Linked DNA regions of Mus musculus: region 2 is reported to be linked to region 1. Evidence: microRNA targets listed by miRTarBase, many of them from high-throughput screens and not tested one by one. Region 1 holds a microRNA gene; the other region holds the end of a gene's coding sequence.

Region 1 (7,120 bases):
GAAAAAGCAGAGACAGGAAGATCATGAGTTCAAGGCTATTCAGGGTATAAGTAGCATGACATCCTCAAAAAAATAAATAAAAGATAAGCCAGGCACGGGGTGGGATGTGGTCACATCTTTAACCCCAGCACTCTAGAGGCAAAGCAGAAGCAGGTGGGTCTCTTGAGTTTCAGACAAGCTTAGTCTATATAGTGTTATCCTGTTTCCAAAAAAAAAAAAAAAAAACAAAAACAAAATAAAAGCTGGAAGTATGACTTATCAATAAAAACCCTGCCTTGAATCTACATGTTTTCATCTTAAATTCTTCCTGGTATTTTTTCCCTGTAGTTGGGTTTGGGTCATGGGTTGAGCCCACACGTAGAAACCCCAGTAAAGGATGGGGGCCAGGTTCAGTGGTGGAGTCTCCTAGAATCACCCAGTGAGGAGTTGAGGGCATGGTCAGGGGTGGAGCCCCACTTAGAGTCCCCCAGAAGAGATCTGTAAACATTCTGTTTGAGAGTATCAGCCTTTCCTAAATAGTGTGGCCGTTGCAGGAGGCTGAGAATGTTAACAAAGTCTTGTCCTAATTGACCAGTGAGGTAACAGGAAGTTTCTCCCACCGAGCTGAAGCCTGGAGAAGGCAGAGTTGGTTATGGGAGGTTATGTGAGTGGACTGTGCAGACCCAAGAGAGGAAACTGCATGGACAAAGCAGCCCCTGGGCTGCTGTGTGACTGAGTTTGATGTCAGCTTTACACGGGTGGAGCTTAAGGGAAGCAGGAACCTCAATTGAGAAAAGGCCTTTATCAGGTATTTTCATGATTAATGATTTAAGGCCATTGTGGGTGGTGCCATCCTTGGACTGGTGGTCCCAGATTCTATAAGAAAGAAGACTGAGCAAGCCAGGGGAAGCAAGTAAGCAACCAGTAAGCAACACCCCTCTATGGCCTCTGCATCAGCTCCTGCCTCCCGGTTCCAGCCCTGACTTCCCTCAGTGATGGAGTGTGGCCATCATTGTAAGCTGAATAAACTCTTTCCTGCCCTTTTCTTGAGTCAAGGTCCTGTCACAGCACCAGGATGCACACTAGGACAGCTGGGGAGAATTGCACAGTGGGGGATGGTTAGTGACTGCATTAGAATGTCACAGATGATAGGTGTTGAATGTTAAGAATGCCATGACCCACCAGACAACAAGTCCACATTTTCTTGGTATCAGTCATGCAACTAGTGGTTGCTTTGTGTGGCGGGCACAGAGTTTTATTGAAAATTGGGCTGGGGCTCCATGGGTACCGTACCCAGTCAAAGCATTTGAAATTCTGAATCCAACACCGTGTATGCTAGGCATGGTTCTCAGGGACTGGAGGCAAGAGAACTCAGTGTTCAAAGCCATCCTGGGCTACATTCAGAGTTAGAGAAAAGCCTGGACTACAGGTGACACTGTCTCAAAGCAGGCAAAGTGAAAAGAGTGAGGAAAAGAAAACAAGAAAGAGAAAAGAATTTCAGGGTTTTCTAGAAGTACCTTTGATGCCAATCCCTCTTTTAAAAGTTTTATGGCCGGGCAGTGGTGGCGCATGCCTTTAATCCCAGCACTTGGGAGACAGAGGCAGGGAGATTTCTGAGTTCGAGGCCAGCCTGGTCTACAGAGCAACAGCCAGGTCTATACAGAGAAACCCTGTCTCAAAAAACCAAAAAAAAAAAAAGTTTTATGTATGCACATGCTTTTAATTCAAACACTCAGGAGGCAGAGGCAGGTGGATCTCTGAATTTGAGGGTAACCTGGTCTACAGAGTAAGTTCTAAGACAGCCAGGTTTATATACAGAAACCCTCTCTTTTTTTTTTTTTTTTAAATGTAATTCTTTTTTTTTTTTTTAAAGATTTATTTATTTATTATATGTAAGTACACTGTAGCTGTCTTCAGACACCAGAAGAGGGAGTCAGATCTCATTACAGATGGTTGTGAGCCACCATGTGGTTGCTGGGATTTGAACTCTGGACCTTCGGAAGAGCAGTCGGGTGCTCTTACCCACTGAGCCATCTCACCAGCCCCAGAAACCCTCTCTTAAAAAAAAAAAAAAGAAAAATTTTTATGTGTGTTTATTTATTTGTGTGTGGAAGCATGTGTGTCACAGGACATGTATGGTCAGAGGACAACTTGCAGGAGTTGGTTTTATCCTTCTACCCAGTTGATCCTGGGGCTCAAGCTTGGGTTCCCTAATTTCAAAGCACTCTTTCCCTCTGAGTTACTCCACTGGCTCACCATTCCCTATTTGAGTCTCCAGAGAAAGCACGGTGCTGTGACCCAGGGCCCTGAGGTTGTGTCTCTGATCCTATCATGTAGATGTGTTTGAGTGACAGGCCAATAGCATGGGAAACACTCCTGCACTCTCCCAGGGCCCGAGACCTTGCTAGACACCCTCTCCTGTCCGTGCTAGACTTCCCTTAACCCCCTCCTGTCCCAGTTTCCTGCCCCTACCTGTTTGTGTATTTCAGGAGAAAGGTGATAGGAGTCCACGCTATGAGGCTGGCTGTGACTTGTTGTCATATCATATCAGAACAACAAAATCACAAGTCTTCCACATAGCACTGGCTCACGTACTCCGCTCCTCGTCCTCATCCTCCTCCGCCAGGTTCAACACCCTCAAGTGCTTCTCTCTCTCTCTCCATAGAGGATTGAGCATAACAAACCCCACTCACTGACTTACCCTCCCTAGACATCCCTTTTCCATTCCATCCCCTGAGACACAGGCAAGATTCATTCTCTACCTGCCCCCCAACTCACACCCTGGCACATCACCAACGTGGGATTTATTGTTCCAGGCACGAGGAGCACACACTTGTCACCCCAGCACGCAGGGAGTAGAGGCAGGAGGATGAGAACTTCAAGATCATCTTTGGCTACACAAGGAGTTCAAAGCTTGGTCTACAGTGTTTTAAAATAATAATAATTATATATATAATTGAGAGAAAAACTCTTTTTAAAAATAAAAAGAACTTGAGATTTAAAGTTGGATTGAGGCTGGCTTTCCCCTCACCACTTCACTTTGGAAATTAGTACACCCAGAGGCACTCATAACATCTCGTTGACCAAATGCTTCGCCTGTACTCTGTGAGTTTGAAGCCAGCCTAGTCTACATAGTGAGTTTCAGAACAGCTAGAGGTACACACAAAAAAACCCTGTTTCAAAAAAGAAAAAAAAAATCCCTCCGTAAAGGACAAATGCCAAGAACCATTAAGAGGTTCCTTCCCTGTACACTCTCCGCCAGAACAGACCCCAAGGCGATCCCTGAAGCTGGGTGTTGAGAGCTTGGCACTGCCAGGGGCCGGGTGCTGAAGCCTAGTCTCTTCGTGACCCGCTGGGAGCTGTCCGAAATCCTGGTGCTGAAGCCGAACTCTGCTCCGAGTCCCTCAGCCGGATGGCGCTGTCCGCGTCTCCAGTGCTGAAACATAATTAGTTATTGGGGGAGGGGGTGGTCAGTGCGGCTCGAGGACACTCTCCCAGCTTCTGCCTTCTGCCAAAATGCCCCGCTCCTTGTTTCTGTTCTTCGTCCTAGGGACCCATCTTCTGTTTTAATCTCTTCCCATGGACCCGGGGTGTTCTAGGCGGGGACGAAGGCGCAAGGCTCTCACCTGCTCCCACATCTCAGGGAGACAGCCCTGGGTTCTCTGCCCTTCCTAAACAGTCCAGTTGGCCTTCTGGAAGATGTGCCAACTTGCATTGTACCCAGAGTCCCCGCTTCCCTCCCTCAGCGCACCTTTTCCTCCTTCCTTCGTGCCTTACCTTCTCCTGCTCACCAGCAGCTGCAGGTGTCTCGGTGGCTGTCCAGTTTCCGACGTTTCACCTTTATGCGCTTAAGGGGAAGGCGGAGCGCTGGAAACCCTGGGTGGGGCTTAGCCAGTGAACCAATAGGAATCGTCTTGGAATGAAGCTCCAAGGATTACCTCATAGGTTGAGGCCTCGGCTTCAGAATAAAAGTCAGGCATCCGTCCAAAAACTTCTTTAGGGGTCTCCAGAAGGTGTCAGGGTGTAGTCCTGTGGCCTGTTAAGTTTCCACGAGAGGATCATCTAAAACCTGATCACTGAGTAGCCAGAGGATTAGCGATCATCAAGCGTGTGCCTGCTGGGACAGAGAAGCTGAAAAAAAATGTTTGAAGAAATTGAGGGATTTTGAAAATAAAGTCCAATTCTACACAGGGAAGATGAAGTGTGCGGGAATGAGACTCACAGAAGCGTAGGATAGAGGCGGAGCTCTGGCGATTTTTGTTTTGTTTTGAGTTAGGGTCTTGATTTGTAGTCCATGATGACCTCAAACTTATGATTCTCCTGCCTCAGGCTCCCATCAGGAGTTTGCCTCCACACTAGATTGATGCAGTGCTGGGAATGGAACTTAGTGCTTTCTGATTGCTGGGCCAGCGCTCTGTCCCTGAGCCCTAGTCACAGTTTCCCCCCTCTAACACAGTCTCTCTCACTTTTGTGATCCTCTTGCCTCAGCCTTCTCAGCACTGGGAAGGCTGGTGTGTGGCACATCACACACCTTCATTTACATAGCTTCCTTTGTAGCACCAAAGGGACAGACAGTCAGGGAGGACACACACTCAGGCTTGTAAATCTCCTACCAGCTCCTCAGGCTGCGGAGCTGGCAAGCCAGGTTCATTCTATACACCCTAGGGGCATGGGAGGAGGGGCTGCAGGGAACCTGGGATGAGACCCTGGAAAGCCACCTGCAAGATCTAAGCTCTGATCAGTTGTCCCTTTCCCTTCTAGCAGTCTCTTGGGTAAAACTTGCATGCCCCACGCCCTTTGTTTTTCTCTCTTATTTCTTCCCATTCTTTCAATTTGGATATGAACCCAGAGCCTTGCAGTCCCTCAAAGAGCTAAGTCATCTCCCTGAAATTATAAGATTTATTTATTTATTTATTTATTTATTTATTTATTTATTTATTTATTTATTTATGTGCACATGCACAGTACATGCATAGAAGTCAGCAGAGAGCTTGTGGGTCCTGCAGCCCACATTTAATTTAATTCATTTTAAACCTTTGGAGAATTCTTGTTCTTTTTATTGTTTGTTTGCTTGCTTGCTTGCTTGTTTGCTTTTTGAGACAGGGCTTCATTGTGTAGCCCTGGCTGTCCTGGAACTCACTGTGTAAACCAGGCTGGCTTCAAACTCAGAAAGATCAACCTGTCTCTGCCTCCTGAGTGCTGGGATTAAAGGTTGGCATCACCACTGCCACGCTGGAGAATCGTTTGGGGCTACGGGAAGCTGTTTGGCAGGTTTCTTCTCTCACATTTGTGAGGTCCTGTGTTCCATGTCCGCACATACAAATCAATAGAAAGTGAAACGGTGTGTGAAAGCCCACCCTCATGCATGTGCACACACGCGCCATGGTGCTTATCTGGAGCTCTGTGAAAGCCTTGCACGAGTAGGTTTTCTTCTTCTGCCACATGTGTCCCAGGGATAGAACTCAGGCCACCCCACAGCAAGTGCCTTCACCCTCCAGCTCCATTGCCCCCACACATCTCTCAGGATTGAATCACAATCATTTTGTGGATGGATTTTGTCCATCAGATATTTCCTAGTTCAAGGACTCAGAGTCCTTGAACTACGCCACTGTTTGGACATCATGAAGAAAATGTCCAGGAACTTACACATGTGCTTCCTCATGTGTGCTATTTTCACTGCCATGCCTGGTTTCTGATGGGTGCTGGGATGAAATTCAGTCCTTCACACTTGCGTGGCAAACACTTCAGTTACCTCTCCAGCAGTGTATTTTAATTCTTTGACATAGGGGCTTTGCTCTGTAGCTGAGGTTGCTCTCATATTTGAAATCCTCTGCCCCAGCTTTCTAAGAGTTGGGATCACAGGTGTAGGCTGCCATTTCCAGCTCCAACTGGCCTCAAGTCCCTCAGGTCTGTCTCCCTTGTTGATGCGCTCTGCTCCTATCCTGGAAAACTGTGTGAAGGTTCATGATTCCCACTTTCTCCCTCTGGTGACACCTCAATGTGTCCTGTGTCATGAAAACTACGGGTGTGGGCAGGCACCGATGAATGAAAGTTTTGTGTGTTTGTTTTGCTTTTGATTTTTTTTTGTTTGTTGTGTTTTTGTTTTTGTTTTTTACAGATCTTGCCTGAGTTTGTGAGAGCAGCATAGGACACTGATCATCTGCAAATAGTGTGTGGGGAGGTGTGTCACAGCAGTCTGTCTGTCTTCACACTGGCAGGAGCCTTTTCTATGGGGCCTTCACAGGGGCCTGGGCACCTTTGGGGGCCTGAGCACCTTTGGAAGCCTGGGTTGGAGCTGAAGCCTGGGCCTTATCTGGAGCTTTGGCCCCTGCCTTGGTTTGGACCTTAGGCTTCAGTTGGCAGAGCCTCTGACCCTTGGCCATGTAGCTTCGAATTTACTTCCCAATCTTAGGGTGAGCGATGAAAGCCAGCCGCTTGAGTTTGGGGCCTTTTGGCATCTTGGGCTTGATGGCCTCTGCGCGCGCACTCACTGCCTTTGCATTATTGGCCTGCATCTTCTTCAGGCCTTTCTTGTTGTGCTTCTTGGCAAGGCGCATGTTCCTCAGGAACTTCGGGTCAACCCCCTTAAGAGGTTCGTATCTTTGCGACAGGGGTTTCTTGATGCCATTTCTGTGCCATTTTCGGGACTGGTTGTGTGTGGTGTGGTTCTTGGACTTGGCCATGTCTGCACGGTAACCCACGGCTCCCACACCGCCTGGGACCAGAAGAGAAAGAGCTGCTTTTGTTTTCTTTTTAAGACAGGGTTTGTCTTCGTAGCCCTGGCTGTCCTGGAACTTGCTCTGTAGACCAGGCTGACCTCAAACTCAGAAATCTGTCTACCTCTCTCTGCCTCTGAAGTGCCAGGATTAAAGGCATGTGCCATCACTGCCCAGCATGAATGAAGGGTTTTTTGTTTGTGTGTTTGTTTTGTTTTTTGTTTTGTTTTTCGAGACAGGGTTTCTCTGTGTAGCCTTGCCTGTCCTGGAACTCACTTTGTAGACCAGGCTGGCCTCGAACTCAGAAATCTTTCTACCTCTGCCTCCCGAGTGCTGGGATTAAAGGCGTGCACCACCACCGCCCAGCTATGAATGAAGGTTTTTTAATAATCACCCAACGACACCCACATGATACTGCAGTCCTG
Region 2 (7,107 bases), not on the chromosome of region 1:
AGGCCCTGGGGAAAGGGACTTGTTTCTCAACACTAGTTTCTTCCCCCAGGCAAGGGAATGGTGGCCACACCCTACTGGCAAGGCTAAAAGTAAATGGGACACCCTTCATAATGTTACAGCCAGGTTAGCATCGGCCCACTTCCCTCTATCCCCACCCAAGACAGTGAGAGACTGTAAGGGAAATGGATTTTGACAATTCTGAGACCCAGCCAGCCCAGGAAAGGACATGGATTCAAAGAAACCAGTGACTAATGTGACATCAGGTCACTAGGTCATCAGCAGCATGTTGTCAATGTGTCTCTTGTCCCTCAAGGGCCACCATGTTCAGCACTTGTTCTTCCTTAAGACATTGGCTCATGGTCCTCCTCTGATTCTCTTCCAGGGACGCTGTATCAACTTCACCAGAGTGAAGAACAGTCAGCCAGCCAAGTATCCCCTGAACAACACCTACCACCCCAGCTCCCCACCTCCCGCTCCTATCTACACACCCCCACCCCCTGCTCCCCACTGCCCTCCCCCAGCCCCCAGTGCCCCCACTCCTCCCATTCCTTCCCCACCATCCACTCTCCCCCCTCCTCCTCAGGCCCCACCCCCTAACAGGGCACCTCCCCCCTCCCGACCTCCTCCAAGGCCTTCTGTCTAGAACCCAAAGTCCGAGCTCTGGGCTGCCTGAGCAACTCCAGCAGGAGGCTTCTCTGCTGAAAGAAAGATCTGCCCAGCCTATGTGGTGAGTGGCACCTGATGTTTGCACGATTTAAAAGCAAGTCGTGATGGGCAGAACAAAATGGGCATTTTGAACTGCCTGAAGACAGACAATGAGACAATAACAGTCACATTATAGCCTGTGACCCCTCACCTCTAGAGGAAGGTTCCCGAGATGGCCACATTGCCACAGTGCTCTCAGCCAGATTATGTCCCATGAAGACCAGGAAGAAAGTGACTTCCAAGAATGGAATGCAGCATTGGATAAGAAGCACCTGGCTGAGATTCTGACCTCACTGATTTGACTCTTGATTCTTGGACTGGGAGCCAGGCCATCTCCACCCCTGGTACCACCCAGCAACTCTGAAAATGTGCAGTGTCCCTAGTATGCATCGAATAGGTATCCAACTGGGATCTGCAGGTTGCCTTATAAAGAGCATATGCTCTATTCTCTTTCCCGAACTTCCTGGTTTCCCAGTGATGAGGGAAGGGGAAAGGTGTTGCCATGCTTAGAAGTTAGAGGACGTCAGTGCTCAGCACTGATGGAGAAGCGTTGATGGGAGTGTCCAGCTCTTACATCTAGAAATGGCTGGCTTCAGCAGGCACAGTTCCTAAACCAACAAGCCTTGTCATTGTCAAAGGCAACCTACTAATGATTCACCTTAAACATCAAGGTTGACTGTGGCATAGGTCAGAGCTGATCACACAGAACCTTCCCCATGAAATCGCAAGGTTCCTCATCTTCAAATACCCAGGACCCCAGAGATTTCTAAATCCAGCTAAGAGACAGTAGTCCTGACTTGGCAAGAAAACCATTCCCAGTTGTTTTACTCTGAAACAGGCCGTTGTATGTATGGTATATCTCTCCTTGGCCTTTCAACCTGCTCACAAGTATTACCAGTTATGAAGCAAGGAGAAATACATCCAGTGTGTAATAGAAAAGCTCTGCCCGCAATCCCCATGTCACTCCTCTACATTATTCTGAAGCTGCTTGGTCAGTGAGCCCTTTAACCTCATGTAGACTCTGGACACTGTCACCCAATCATGAAAACAGAGGTCATTGTCAAAGGCAGTGTATAGCCTGTACAAAAATGATGCTTCCTTCCTCAGTTTCCACAGGCCCCAAAATTCCTGTCTTAGGCTCCTAAACCTCTAAACTTTTTCCTGGAACAAAAGATATAAAACGGGCATAAGTTTTTATGTTTTGGGCTGTGATCTCCAAAGATCCTTCAAGAACTCAAGTTAGCCTCATTCTTCCAGCTTGTTTAGAACAGAGGCATCCAGGTGTCATGCACTCCATAGACACCAATCCTTGTTCCCAAGGCAGACATTATTAATCAATCTCAGCACTAGTTCTCAATTTAATCCAATTATATTTTTCCACAGTACTTCACATCTCTTATGACCTGTTGGTCATCAGTTAGAATTGAGAGAGATAAACACTGTTTGTAATCCCTACCTTAGAAAGAAAAGCAGAGGAGAATGGGGGAACCACCAGCATAAAAGTTATTATCTGGGGAAAATCGACCTGAAAGAACGCCCAAGTCCAAGACCTATGGTGCTGACACCAAAGTAACACTTTCCCAAGTGTACCCCAGACCCCACTCTTCTCCCTGTGGCCACCACTCCCTGCTTTTCAGGAGTTGTGAAAAAGATCTCCTTCACCCTTACTGTGCCCCCATATTAGAACAAGGCTTGTTTAGTGTAGTCCTTGTTAAACAGGTGCCAGAATGTCTCAGCCACCTGAGATGACATTGCTGGGCCCCAGAAAACCATTCCAAGGAGAATGGGCTCCCCAGGCTCAGAGCATGCAACTATGAGCCCATGGCAACTGTTTTGACTGCTGGCAGTACAAAACGGGCCACCCCACATTACAGCTGCAGGATTTGTGCAGCCATAAGAAAGTACGAACCAAGATGCTGGCGTTGCTGTTCAACAAGCATGGGCTTCGGGGAAGGCAGCAGACTCCGAGAGCAGGCCTTGTGCAGTGTCCCAAGGGGCTGTGGTGAAGTGTCTGAGGAAAAATGAATGCTGATACATGGTGATTCTGAGAAGAATTTGCAAGGTTTGACCTTAGAATTTATGGAATGTCTTCCCTGGTCATTCAGAATTATGGCTAGAAGTTTCTAGAAACCGTCAAGGTTAATACCTTTCAGAGTAGGTGATTACAGGCAGGAAGAGCTTTGATGTGGTTTACAAAGCCCATCAGTTCTGTGTCATTCCCTGTAAGCAACAGGAGATGGTGGTTGTGATTAGCAAACTGCATGTGTTATTTGTTTGACTCCTTGTTATTGTCCTTACGGAGGATTTTTTTTATATAAGCCAAATTTTGTTGTATATATTCATATTCCACGTGACAGATGGAAGCACGTCCTATCAGTGTGAATAAAAAGAACAGTTGTAGTAAATTATTAAAGCCAGTGATTTCATGGCAGGTTACCCTACCAAGCTGTGCTTGTTGATCTCCCATGACCATACTGCTTTTACAATGTACAAATAGTTCCTAGGTGACGAGACCCTCCTTTACATAATGCCGATGACAGCCTTGCTGGGAACTGCGGTCCTTCTGCTGTGACAGCCAGCTCGAAAACAGGTCCTGCCTGGAGCTTGCCACACACTTTAGGGAGACATAAGAGCTGTCTTTCCCCAGCGTCAGGGACAAAGCTACCATAAAGAAGTGGAAAAGTCTTGGCTCTCCAGCCTGGGACAGAGGTCTCTCTGGAACCCCAAGGAAGAGCAGAAATGATCCTTGCCTGCCACTGCACACAATGTGATGGTGGAAAATCCATCAAGGAATAATTGTGAGATAATGACCGACAGTTCAGGCGCAAAGGGAATTCATGCTGTGTAAAGTGGGTGGAATTCGTTTGCAAGCTATGCAAAGCCTGATCTTACTCACCAGGAGGATGGAAAGGGTTTTTTTAGTTATCTGAGCTCAGCTGAGTTATCACGCTTGGAGAACCGATTTAAAGGAATTAGAATATGATTTCTGAATACACATAACATTAAACTCTTCTCTTTTTCTATGGTAATTTAGTTATGGACGTTCAGCGTCTCTGAGTTATTGTTATAAAAGACTTGTCATCACCGCACTGTGCTGTAGGAGACTGGGCTGAACCTGTACAATGGTATACCCTGGAAGTTGCTTTTTTAAAAAAAAATAATAATAAACACCTAAAATCAGTGCTTGTTACTTGTTATTTCTATACCTGCCATAAAAATAATATGCACGTGTTTCAAGTACTTACTGAGGATCATAAAAGCAGAGCTAGCGGGCCAGTGAGACGGCTCAGCTGGCAAAGGGGCTTGCTGCCAAGCCTGACAGCCTGAGCTCAATCCATGGGGCCCACATGGTGGAAGGAGAGAACCCACTCCTGAAAGCTGCCCTCTTGCCTCCCTGTGTACACTAAAGGACACAAGCATCCACATACATGCACAGAGACACAAAATAAATGTTAAAAAGTTTTAAACAAAATAGCTATCATTCTGTACACTGAAATATATATTTTTTTCAAATATCTTCTACACATTAAAATCTGTACTACCGTGACGCACGCCTTTAATCCCAGCACTTGGGAGGCAGAGGCAGGTGGATTTCTGAGTTCGAGGCCAGCCTGATCTACAAAGTGAGTTCCAGGACAGCCAGGGCTACACAGAGAAACCCTGTCTCGAAAAAAACAAAAAACAAAAAACAAACAAAAAATCTGTACTACCATCTTTAGCTCTTAAGAGTTAAAGTGGTCCTCATTTCTAGTAATAATTTTCAAATTTTAAAAAAGCATTCTTGGTAAGTGAAAAATAGAATCCGAAGAAACTAAAATGCGGACCAAAAGAAAATTAACTGAGGCAGAAACAGGAGGATTGTTGCTAGTTAATGGCTACCCTGGACTAGATAGTCAGCTCCTATCTCAAATTAGCAAAAAAATAGTGTGTTACAATTTAAGTCTGACATAAACACACTCACACTCACACACACACACACACACACACACACACACACACACACACGTTTCTGCATTTGAACACCTGATACTCCAAAGTTTTGAGGGGCTACCAGACCCTCAGGGGGTGGGACCTGGATGGCAGAGAAGAATCACTGGTCAGGATTGAGGGTTAAAGCTGCGGGTCCACCATGTGAGAAGTTGTGGCCTCCATGGGTTCACTCGGCCACACCCTCCTTCTGTGATGCCGCTCCCTCTATGACTGAGACAAGAGAGCCTGCTCTCCCTGAAGCAGCTCCTGCCAGGTATTTCCCTCCCAAGGAAAGTAATGAATATAGCTGTCAGGCAGCGGGTATGGGGGAATAAAGGGGGTGGGAGAGAACTCTGGGCAGAAGAACTCCTCTCCACGTGGCCTCTGGTGAGTGTCTGACTGTGTGAAGCCATGGACCCAGTCCATGGTGGACAGGGGGCAGTCCGAGGTCTCTGGGCCTCACAGAAGCCAGAGATAACAGGTTCTCAGTCTTGGACATCCCAGATGCCGCTGTATGTCAAGAGAGAGCTGAGAACAAAGTGGAGGCTCTGGGGAGGCTTGGTCATAGAGAGGAGTGGACAGGGGCATAGGGGGCACTAGGTGATTCCCACACAGGCGAGGGTCTAGAGCGCAGAAAGGCTTTCTGATGGGTGGTTAGATGCGGCTCTTTAGGGGAAAACCTATTCCATTGTTCAAGCACGGCGGGCCTTGATGAGCAGAGACAATACATGGTTTCAGAGCTTTATTGTAAAAAGGCCAAAGAGAAAGAGAAAAGGTACAAGAGAGAGGCTGGCCATGGCCACATAAAGAGAAGGGGGAAGGAAGGAAGAAAAGGAGAGCTAGAGATGAGAGTAAGAAAGGTAAGAGCTTAAGAGAGAGAGGAGGGGCCAAGCAGCCCCTTTTATAGTGAGCTGGGCTATCCTGCAGTTTCTGGGTAGCTGTGGGGAGGAGCATACCTGGCTATTGTCAGGTAACTGTGAGGATGGAGTCTCACTAGAATGCCAGGAGCTTGGGGCTTTGTCTGCCTGACTGATAATCACAGAATTATGAAGTTGGGGGCTCTGCGGTGTCAGGCACCTGTCTCTGGGAACATGGCTCACTGTTCCGTCCCTTGTAAACTTTCCTACTGGGTCTCTGGAGCAAGCCTCGCTCAGCCAAAGGAGGCTGCCTTTCACGGCCCCGCGTATAACCAGTGAAGACTGTTCTGGCTGCTGAGGCAGAAGGGACATGGGTTCTTCTCTGAGAGCTGCTGTCCAGGAATCACTGTGGAGAGCTCAGTCTATTGCAGAATATGACACTGTTTTTATGGTGTCTCTTTGTGGTCCCAGAGCTTTCCCTCCTAACCTCCCAGGGCAGCTGCTTGCATTTAGGGAAACAGACTCGTACTAGTTCCCTGGTTTACTTCATAAGACTTCATTAGGACTAGATTCATCTTAAGCAGAATAACAAGATCTGTTAACACAATCAGGCCAACATTTGTTCCAAATTTTCATTAATATTCACTTTAAGGATGTATACTTTGAGTATGTACACATTTTTCAGTTACATCCTTAATACATAATCTGAGATAATTAACAGGAATTTGAAAGGAAAACAGAAAAGCTGGAATCCTCCCTCATTCCTTACACCACCATTGATTGCAATTGTCTTATACTGGGAAAATGGAGCTGGAGGAATGGTCAGCAGTTAAGAGCCCCTGCTGCTCTTCCAGAGCATCTGAGTTCTGTTCCTAGCACCCACCTCAGGAGACCCACAAGCATCTGTGACTCCAGCTCTAGTGGGATCCAGCGCCCTCTTATGGCCTCTGAAAGCACTGCACTCACATGCTCATATACACACATAAACATAAAGGCAGGAGAACAGCTCTTTCTTAAATGGAAACATGTTTTCTATATGGTAGAAAGAACTTAAGATATTTGCATTCTACTTGCATGGCTTGTCAACTATCTCCTGAAATCACTTCCAGTGCTCTGAGGAGTGTCACTGTGCACTGGGCTGAGTACGCAGAGATGTCATCAGTAGGCCCGCTGCTGACTGTGGACAGGAGCTTGAGTTCCTTGGGTGCTCGCCACTAAATCCCGTCTTCTGCCTTCAGTTAAATCCGTCTTGCTTAAGGTTTAATTTGCTGCGATGAAACACCCTGACCGAAAGCAACTTGGGGAGGAACGGGTTTATCTCACTTTAAACTTCCATATCAGAGGAAGTCAGGGCAGGAACCTAGAAGCAGGAACTGAAACAGAGGCCATGGGGTTGCTGTGTGTGTATGATTTTTACTGGCTTACTAAGTGTCCCCTCATCATAGTGCTTTCTCATACTGTCCAGAACCACCTGCGGAGGGGTGGCTCTTCTACCCTATGCCTGAGGCTTCCCAGTCAATCATTAATCAAGCAAATGCCCCACAGACTTGCCTACAGACATATCTATGCAAGCATG

Evidence for each region. Region 1 holds the annotated microRNA mmu-miR-7b-5p (UGGAAGACUUGUGAUUUUGUUGUU, at 2,531-2,554, opposite strand). A microRNA usually pairs through its seed, bases 2 to 8, with sites in the 3' UTR of a target mRNA and lowers its output. Matches are read on the target gene's strand: a 7mer-m8 pairs with bases 2 to 8, a 7mer-A1 pairs with bases 2 to 7 and ends in A, and an 8mer does both.
Region 2: the mRNA of Antxr1 is a reported target of mmu-miR-7b-5p. Seed matches in the 3' UTR shown: 7mer-A1 at 1,955-1,961 and 7mer-m8 at 2,792-2,798.

The regions. Positions count from the first base shown.
Region 1 is chr17:56,238,451-56,245,570 of GRCm38, reverse strand. It overlaps Mir7b (microRNA 7b), which reads right to left and starts at 2,583; the gene lies at 2,473-2,583. A230051N06Rik (RIKEN cDNA A230051N06 gene) reads right to left here and starts at 3,855. Exons shown (of 2, transcript NR_155493.1): 1 at 3,757-3,855; 2 at 2,766-3,415.
Region 2 is chr6:87,130,631-87,137,737 of GRCm38, reverse strand. Antxr1 (anthrax toxin receptor 1) reads left to right here. Exons shown (of 18, transcript NM_054041.2): 18 at 383-3,885. The coding sequence ends at 643. Among named protein-coding and RNA genes, the nearest start is that of D6Ertd527e, 29 kb to the right of the region's middle.